2 linked regions of the Daphnia pulex genome follow. The protein of the gene in region 1 interacts with the protein of each later gene in a pairwise test. Links are inferred from orthologs where the notes say so. Each region holds a gene or a part of one and is shown in the gene's direction. Other genes may lie near its edges.

Evidence for each region.
Region 2: the proteins of DNA primase large subunit-like (region 1) and rho GTPase-activating protein 1-like interact in a two-hybrid assay, tested with the Drosophila melanogaster proteins (2 studies listed by BioGRID). The link is inferred for Daphnia pulex from reciprocal best matches to the Drosophila melanogaster genes Prim2 and RhoGAP68F.

Annotation. Positions count from the first base shown.
Region 1 is NC_060018.1:6,170,266-6,174,483, reverse strand, and holds DNA primase large subunit-like, read left to right. Parts: upstream 1-1,418; 5' UTR 1,419-1,577; coding exon 1,578-1,731; intron 1,732-1,796; coding exon 1,797-2,134; intron 2,135-2,205; coding exon 2,206-2,436; intron 2,437-2,506; coding exon 2,507-2,656; intron 2,657-2,729; coding exon 2,730-2,912; intron 2,913-2,981; coding exon 2,982-3,177; intron 3,178-3,242; coding exon 3,243-3,541; 3' UTR 3,542-3,953; downstream 3,954-4,218. Other genes in the region: fucose-1-phosphate guanylyltransferase-like, read right to left, coding at 39-233, 317-562, 653-713. UniProt on the Drosophila melanogaster protein: Regulatory subunit of the DNA primase complex and component of the DNA polymerase alpha complex (also known as the alpha DNA polymerase-primase complex) which play an essential role in the initiation of DNA synthesis.
Region 2 is NC_060017.1:1,508,076-1,512,188, forward strand, and holds rho GTPase-activating protein 1-like, read left to right. Parts: upstream 1-1,313; 5' UTR 1,314-1,383; coding exon 1,384-1,428; coding exon of another isoform or gene 1,429-1,430; exon of another isoform or gene 1,431-1,478; intron 1,479-1,557; coding exon 1,558-1,678; intron 1,679-1,756; coding exon 1,757-1,870; intron 1,871-1,940; coding exon 1,941-2,183; intron 2,184-2,282; coding exon 2,283-2,340; intron 2,341-2,399; coding exon 2,400-2,618; intron 2,619-2,675; coding exon 2,676-2,774; intron 2,775-2,830; coding exon 2,831-3,024; intron 3,025-3,087; coding exon 3,088-3,300; intron 3,301-3,357; coding exon 3,358-3,464; intron 3,465-3,526; coding exon 3,527-3,697; 3' UTR 3,698-3,870; downstream 3,871-4,113. Other genes in the region: uncharacterized protein LOC124194419, read right to left, coding at 1-500, 565-962, 1,047-1,163. UniProt on the Drosophila melanogaster protein: Functions as a GTPase-activating protein (GAP) for RhoA/Rho1 during gastrulation by converting it to an inactive GDP-bound state.

The DNA of each region.
Region 1 (4,218 bases):
CAAATGAAAAAAAGAAAGAAGAATTATTAAACAATTACCTTCTAAACAAAAAGTTTCTATATCATCAGAAGCACAAATAAATATTCCTCCATTTTTCATCAGTTTAAGAAAAGGTGAAGTAATAATAAATTTTAAATTTAGAAGTGTTATTGCTTTTCCTTCAACTTCTAGTGGCAATGGACAAAATAACTTTCCAGTACAGCTTAAATTTGGTAATCTTTTACTAGATCCCCCTAAAATAAAAATATTTTTTAAAGAAATAAAAAAAATAGTATTAACTGAAACATGTAAGTAGGCCTATAACATCAATTCCTACCAGCATGACTAATCCAAATTTTCATCTCAAATAGATCATTGGCAAAAAGTTTTTTTAAATGTTTCAGAATATGAAAGGTAGATCCACCTGACCCCAAAGCATATCCAGGACAATCAGCAATGACTAAATATTTAGTAGCCCTTGGTATTTCTCCATTTTCCAGTTTCTCATCAATTTGCTGTTTGAAACATTCTTTTTGTTCTTCATCTCCGGCAGATATGACTACACAATCCCAAAAACCATCGTCTAAACAGATAAAAGGTAAAATGTCAAACAATCTCACTGACTTGTGATAATTTGTGTGATGGATGAAGTTTTTACTTGTTAAAAACTAACCTAAAGATGTTTTGTTAAAGTTTTCCGCTAACTGAACCATGTACTTCTGGATTCGTTCCATTTTTGTGACTGTTGTAGCATTTTCCAGGACGACGTAGGCTTAGTAACTTTGCCACGTAAACACTTTAAACAGTCCAAATTTCATATTTCAGGTAAAAACACAGATGTTTATTGACGTATTCAAAACATGGGAATTCAGAGACCCCTGGAGGGTGTTAGAGAAAGATAACACGGGTAATTTATCGGACTTCGGATATGATTCTGAGCCTAAACCTTTGGGAAACGAAGTTATTTACTGATACAGATTTCTGGAATTAAATATGTTTTAATTTTTGACGAAAAAAGCGAAAAGTAGTAATCATTTTCATATCACAGGTAATGTGTCGTCTGTCTCGTGTCCCGTGTGGTTAGTTTGAATTGCAAAACAACGAACTCTTATAGACATACCATGGACATACTGCAATTAGCGAACTCTTTCATTTTCATAGAGGCATTCGCACTTAATTATTTATGGTCCAAAATTTAATTACAGTCGTCGCAAGCCCGCAGCTGCGTGAGACAATGAATTGGGTGAGGCAAAGATTAGATTTCCTGCAATCCTTGCAAAATTCTAATTAATAAAAACTTTGAATAACTTTAAAGCTATTTAATATGCATGATTTGTATCTAGCAAGTTCGCAAGTCTTCGAATTTATTTTAGAGCGGTTGCATTTGCATGCAACTTGCAATCAATTTGGAATCCTTTTTTTTTCGCCAATTTTATATCTGGCATCACCGTTGCTTTAGTTTGAGCGCGAAAAGAGATCTTTTGTTGTTTCATTTACCGTCTGCTACTCTGCTTTATGTTAAGTGTTAACCGCGCAGTAAACTTGGTAGAAAAAAAATTTTGTTGAATAAATTCCGAGGGAAATAGTTACTTTTAAAAATGGAATTTCAACGCAACACAGTTCGGCGAACTATAAAAAATTCTATGAAGCTAAGAAGTGAATATCCTCATTCTCTGCAACTATATTCCGTACCTCCCAGTGAAACCATCGGTTTGCAAGAACTTGAAGATTGGGCTGTCGAACGTCTCAAAGGTATAATAATTGGTCATAACTTCTTATTAATTACCTCCGTAATTACTTCAAATTTTTATCAACAGTTCTTAGGACAATAGAGCGTGTCAATCTGAGTAAAAATGCCAGATTCTCTGATGATTGGAAGACTGCCCTGAAAAATGATTTACAAAAGCAGAACTTGAACAGTTGGTATCAACTGAGCTCAAGTATCAAAGATGATAAGATGGATGAAATCATTTCAAAAACACGACAGAAAGATCATGTTTCTCACTTCTTGATGAGACTTGCATATTGCAGGACTGAAGAGTACAGGCGTTGGTTCATTGCTCAGGAAACTGATCTCTTCCGCTTTAGATTTTCGATGGAAAGTTCAGAAGATATCAGGGCATTTATGAAAGAAAACAAAATGAATTTTCTACCCGTATGTAGAGATATTGCAAATATTCACCAAATTATTACTTATTTAATTATATTTCACCAAACATTTTACAGATTCCAGAGGAAGAAAAAAAGAAGATATTGACTAAACTTATACATGCTGCCCAATTTAATGCCAATAAAGTTGATGCAGTGGAATATTACAAGGTTCCCTTTACAGAGGCTTTAGATTTAGTTCGCCATCGCAAAGTATACTTGCAAGCCGGATTTGCATACATTCCAAGCGAGGACCTCGTTTCCATAATCACAGCTATGTTCCGCTCTCATTTATCACTTGCTATGGCGGTAAAAGAAAATAATTTTTTAATATTCACTGAATAACTTATTTAAAGATATTTTTTTTATTGGATTGAAGCTTACTATGCGTTCACTACCAGAGCTAGAGGACGATCATCGAATCCGTCGCTTACTGAATGACTTTGATAAACGATATACCGGTCAAGATTTTAACTCTCTACAAAATAAATCTTCTGGTGCCGCTGTAACACCAGAAATGATTGATGGGGTAAGACCAACAAATTTCCGTGCTTGCTTTATAAAAACAAAAATAGTAAATCATTAAAATGTATGATTTGCAGTTGTCAAAACAATCTTTCCCACTCTGTATGAGACATTTACACGAGACATTGCGTTCTACTCATCATTTAAAACACGGCGGACGTATGCAGTATGGACTTTTTGTCAAAGGAATCGGACTTAGCTTGGAAAATTCATTGAAGTTTTGGAGGGAGGAGTTCTCCAAAAATATGGATATGGATAAGGTTGGTAAACCTCCACCGAGGATCAAAGTTTCATCAAAACTTCTCCTTACATTTCCCTATTTCCTTTAGTTTGAAAAGCAATACGCATACAATATTCGCCACAATTACGGCAAGGAAGGAAAAAGAATCAATTACGCACCTCAAAGCTGCATCAAAATCATTACTGCCAGCGTAGGTCCGGGTGAGAATCACGGTTGTCCGTTCAGACACTTTGATGCTGCCGTCCTTCGACAGAAAATGACAATGAATCGTGTTCCTCAGCCAGGTAGTAATTAATTTCATATGCATGTCTTTGATCACGTAATTTAATTTGTTTTGGTGCCCTTCTAGCGATTCAAGAAATAGTCGATCTAGTGACACGCCATCATTACCAGATTGCCTGCCAGCGGTACTTTGAAGCCACGCACAACACCGAGATTGATAGTGGTATCCAGCACCCAAACCAGTATTTTATCGAAAGCCAAAAGATCCTCAACGGTGAAGTGAAGGAGAAAATCAAGGGAGCGAATAAGGTACAGACCATTCGTGCTACTCTTCCAGCTAAAGTAGAGAAACTTGAAACAAATGAAAATGAGGTTCTCAGCGAATCCGTTTTAGCAGCAATTGATATGGATGATGATTTCAACTAAATAGTTTAAATCAACTTTTACTTGAAAGCCGTACAAAGGGTTTTATCGATAAATTGTATCTAGCTAGAAGTATTGCGCACTGCATTCGGTTGATCAATAAGATTCCCCAACTGAATAAGCTTGCCTTTTAGAAGTTTGTAACAAAATCGTAGAGATCGTATGTTAAGGCGCGTTTGAACTTAACTTGAATATCTTTCCCACGGCATCAGATGTATATCATTTCTTATCTAAAATGTATCCCTGAAACTTTGCGTAATTGAATTTTGTAAACTCAAAGTTTCATCCGAAAAGAAAGTTTTGGTGCATTATTTGAAAGGGAAACTTGCGTCCGCTCAAAGTACTTTTTGAGGTTGGTGTGCTTTTTCCTAATCGTCAAAAATAACTTTTGGAACAATAGAATAATAGAGAGAGACATACTTCGTGATTGGCACTTGTGTATTTTACTTTTCGGTATGCATGCTGTACAAAATTTCACAGTCACTAAACGCTGAAGTTTACAATTCAGTGACTTTGATGTTTTTAGTACACGGAAGCTGCGGGATAAAAACTTTTAAGAAAGTCTAATTAACGAATCCCTGTTTTGAAATAATCTCGCCACATTGGGGAGAAATTGAACGATCTAGAAAAGTAATAGTACTATGGTTTTTGTGTATATGCAAAAAAAAAAACATTCTAAA
Region 2 (4,113 bases), on another chromosome or scaffold:
AACCAACATGGTTAGGTAATTTTGAAAAATCTACAATATTAAACGGTTCTGTCCACGTTTTGCGATAACACAGCTCTAATGCATCACCAATGTGAAAAGTCAATGTAGCTTCTGTAATCCATTTTTGATAGCTCATAACTTGATTGCACAAAGCCTTCTTACAGGATTCTAGAAAGTTCCCCTGAGCGGGCAACTGTTTGAGATTTAAATACATTTCAAACGGTGAAACGGAAGAAATCAGTGTCCAGTGGCCGGTTGCTGGTTCCAAGAGCGTTGGATTGATGCAGATCATTATTTCTTTGTCCTGAGAGCAGTTGCCCGTTTCAAAATAGATACGCATTTCTTCGGCATTTCTGCTTGCTTTTTGATCAATATGAGCTTTTGTCTGCGCAATCATCCACTTCCATACTTCAGCTAATGTTGGCTTGTAAACACTGTCATCTGATTTTGAGGTTTTGCTTGACCCAAGTTCATGAATGTTATTTATAATGGATTCATACCTGGAATGCATAAAATTTTATTATTAAGTCTGTTTCACAATAGTTTGTTTCTTATTATTTTTACCTTTGTTTGTGAATTTGTTGCATGGTAGCTAAGTTTACTTCAGACACTGATGAAACCCAGAATTTCCATATGTTCTTTAGAACAGACAAATCACTTTCAACAGGAACCTTTAAATTATCTGAGAAACAATCAATGCTCAATTCTGTGATGTCCTTCAAAAACCTCTCTTTAGTTACTGATGACCACTCCATATTATACCATATATCCCACAAATATTGTAAATCTTCATTGCTGTCAGGATTAAATTTTGTATCAGTAATTATTTTTGCAAACAAGATATTTCGTGCCATGGCCATTGCAGACATATCTGTTACAGTGATGTTAGCAATTCTTTGATTGGAACTGAGAGAAGTAGACTTAACAGCAAAGGGTAAATCTCCACATGATAATATTAGCACCTAGGAAATGATTTTCAAAATGATTTTTCATTTTCAAGGGAAAAGACAAAAAAGCAAATAATAGCTGCCAAACCAATTACATACCTTGATAGGGATATCATTCGAACCATGATATTCCTCAAGAAAATTTTCAGAGGGGTAGTTTGAAAACGAATAGCAAAGAGAATTCGGCAAATGATATTTTCGCGAAGGAGATAACATTTTTTAAATTTAAGTTACAGGATTTCTAAATTGATTAGCCGTAGCATCTATCAATTAGATCTTCTATCAGATCAAAGTTGTACTAGTGTTACACATTCAACATTGAAAGAAAATTCGAAAAAGAATTCGTCTGCTACAAGTTTTCAACAACCTTGGGCCCATAAGGTTCAACAACTCGTTACGGCAAAAGGGTTGCGTTGCTGCGTTTCCTCTTCCTCATATGTGGATTGTTATCTTATATTTGACAGTTGCCTCGAGCATAGAGGTATATTAACCGATTCTTGTATGGAAAAGTGATCTTCCGCAAAAGATTGTACAGTGATATAACTAATAGTTCGTTATGGGCAGTTGTACATTTTTTATTCCTAATTCGTGTATTTTCTCTGATCTGTAGGTTAGTACCACCCTAGATCTGTTTAGAGAACTTATTGTGAAGAAAATATTAACCAAATGCCACAAAAAAGGACACAAAATGAATCGCGATAGCCCCAGCAAACCAAGATCTGCAATACCAGGTAAATGTTGATTAAATGCATATTAAAAGTATGGGAGAAGTTGTGTCTGTTGTTATTATTTAACATTTTCCTTGCTAGCTTATTTGACTGGAGAGACTGAAGATCCATATCCAAGCCTTTCTGATATACATGATTATGAACCAAATTTAGAATTTGACGATACTGAACTCCAACAACCAGTTGATGATGAAGGTGTGTAACTTTGTATAATATTGATTTTACTAAAGGTCAAATAAATTAATATGCGTTTTTGAAATTTTAGGGGAAATTATTGGAATTGGAATAGAATCCGATGAATTTCTAGAGACTCCTGTGTCTGATGGCACCATTGAGGAGAACTTTGAAGAAGCATTTGGCTTACCATCTTTAATTCCAGAATATCCATCTCTAATTCCAGAGCAAAGAGATTCATTAAAGGAACTTGATGTGGATGATTTCATTGATGTTGCTCAACATAGAATTGTTGATGTAGTGGGTGATGACACATATGGCCGCAAGGTTATTGGTATGTTAAATTATTATTTCATCATTCTAATCATTGTTTTTTATTTATTTTTCATTATTTTTTGTTAATATTGGGTTTTTTTGTGTGTTTTCTCTACAGTTGTCTCTGCTTGCAGGTTGCCAAGTAACAAAGTGCTGGATCATAACAGATTGCTGAGGTAATAAAATATTGCACATGTATGCTCAACAGTAAATAATACATGTATTCATTTTACAGTTACTTGATGCACACTTTGGATAACTATGTTGAGACTGATTACACTGTTGTGTACTTTCATCATGGTCTCAACAGTCAGAACAAACCGTCTTTTCGGTGGCTTTTACAAGCGTATCGCGCTTTCGATCGAAAGTACAAGAAAAATCTGAAAGCCTTGTACCTTGTACACCCTACAAATTTCATTAGAGTAATTTGGCAATTATTCAAGCCATTTATCAGGTAGATCTGTTTTCTGTGTTATGCGACATTTCAGCATATAGTAACATTTTTTTTAAGCATTAAATTCGGGCGGAAGATGATGTACGTTAATTACCTCAGTGAATTGGGTAACCATATCCATCTTAATCAAGTTAACATACCGCCACCCGTGCTAACGTAAGAAAATGTAAATCATATGTTTAATCGTTTTTTAATTAGTTCTTTAATGGCAGACATGACGCTCAGCTGATGTCAAAAATTGCTAACAAGTCAGGACAAGGTTCTCAGGTGGATTCTTCTTCATCTGTCCAACCTTTACCTACCCAACAGTTTGGTGTGACACTGCAATTTATCAAGGAACGCAACAATGGCCAGGTCATTCCGCCGGTAGTCTCTCGCTGTGTGGAGTTCCTCAGCCAACCAGATGGTTATTTCCCCAGTTATTTAAATCAAAGGAATCAATTACTGTAATGGAAATCTTAATTGACAGCTTTGGAAACGGAAGGATTATTCCGTCGCTCAGCTAGTGTTTCGTTAGTACGTGACGTTCAGTCCCGGATTAATCGGGGTGAATCGATTGATTTTCAGCGTGACTTTCCTGGCGATTATCATCTAGCTGCTGTAACACTGAAAACATTTTTGCGTGAACTGAAGGAGCCCCTAATGACGTTTGACCTCTTTGACGACATTATAAATTTTCAACGTAAGTTTGTTCATCATTGGAATTATTGTCTACTGAAACTTTAAAGCTGTTTTATAGGTTTGAACAAGGAGGAACGTGCTCAAATGGTAAAAACACTTATCTTGGAAAGGTTACCAGAGGATAATTACATCTTATTGAAATACCTTGCACAATTTCTCGCCAAAGTAGGGTCTAATTATTATCATTATTTTTTAATTCCTCGATACAAACTATATTTTAATTCTAGGTTCAAGATAGAAGCGACTTGAACAAAATGACATCGTTCAATCTCGCTGTGGTATTTGGGCCCAATTTAGTCTGGTCTCAGAACCAGCAAATGTCTTTATCGGCTATCGGACCCATTAACGCCTTGACGGAGCATATTTTGTCTCACTATTTAGAAATTTTCATCTTGTAGTTGAGACTTTCCAATGGCTTTCTCTCCACCTAGTCTTCTCGGACTGCTGATTCCCCCGTTATTGGAGCCTTTTCGTTATCAGATTAGACTCGCGCTTACCCCCTTTTTAGTTAACGGTTGTGTCAAATGAGTGTTCTGCAGGTCAAGGTGTATACAAATACCTCTCAAATTGATTTATATTCTTTATAGGTAACCAATTCATTTAGTGAATTGTAAAAAAATACGAACATTGTCCTACAAAAGTTTTGACTTTGTTTACCGAATTTGTTAATTTTAAGTGAAACCATAATACCAAAAGAAACCAAACATTGCAAAAAAAAAACTGGCTGGGGCTATATTAATTTATTTGTCACTTATGAACAAAAAAAGAAAGTGCAAAAAAGAGCGTAAGAAAATACATAGTATGATATACAATT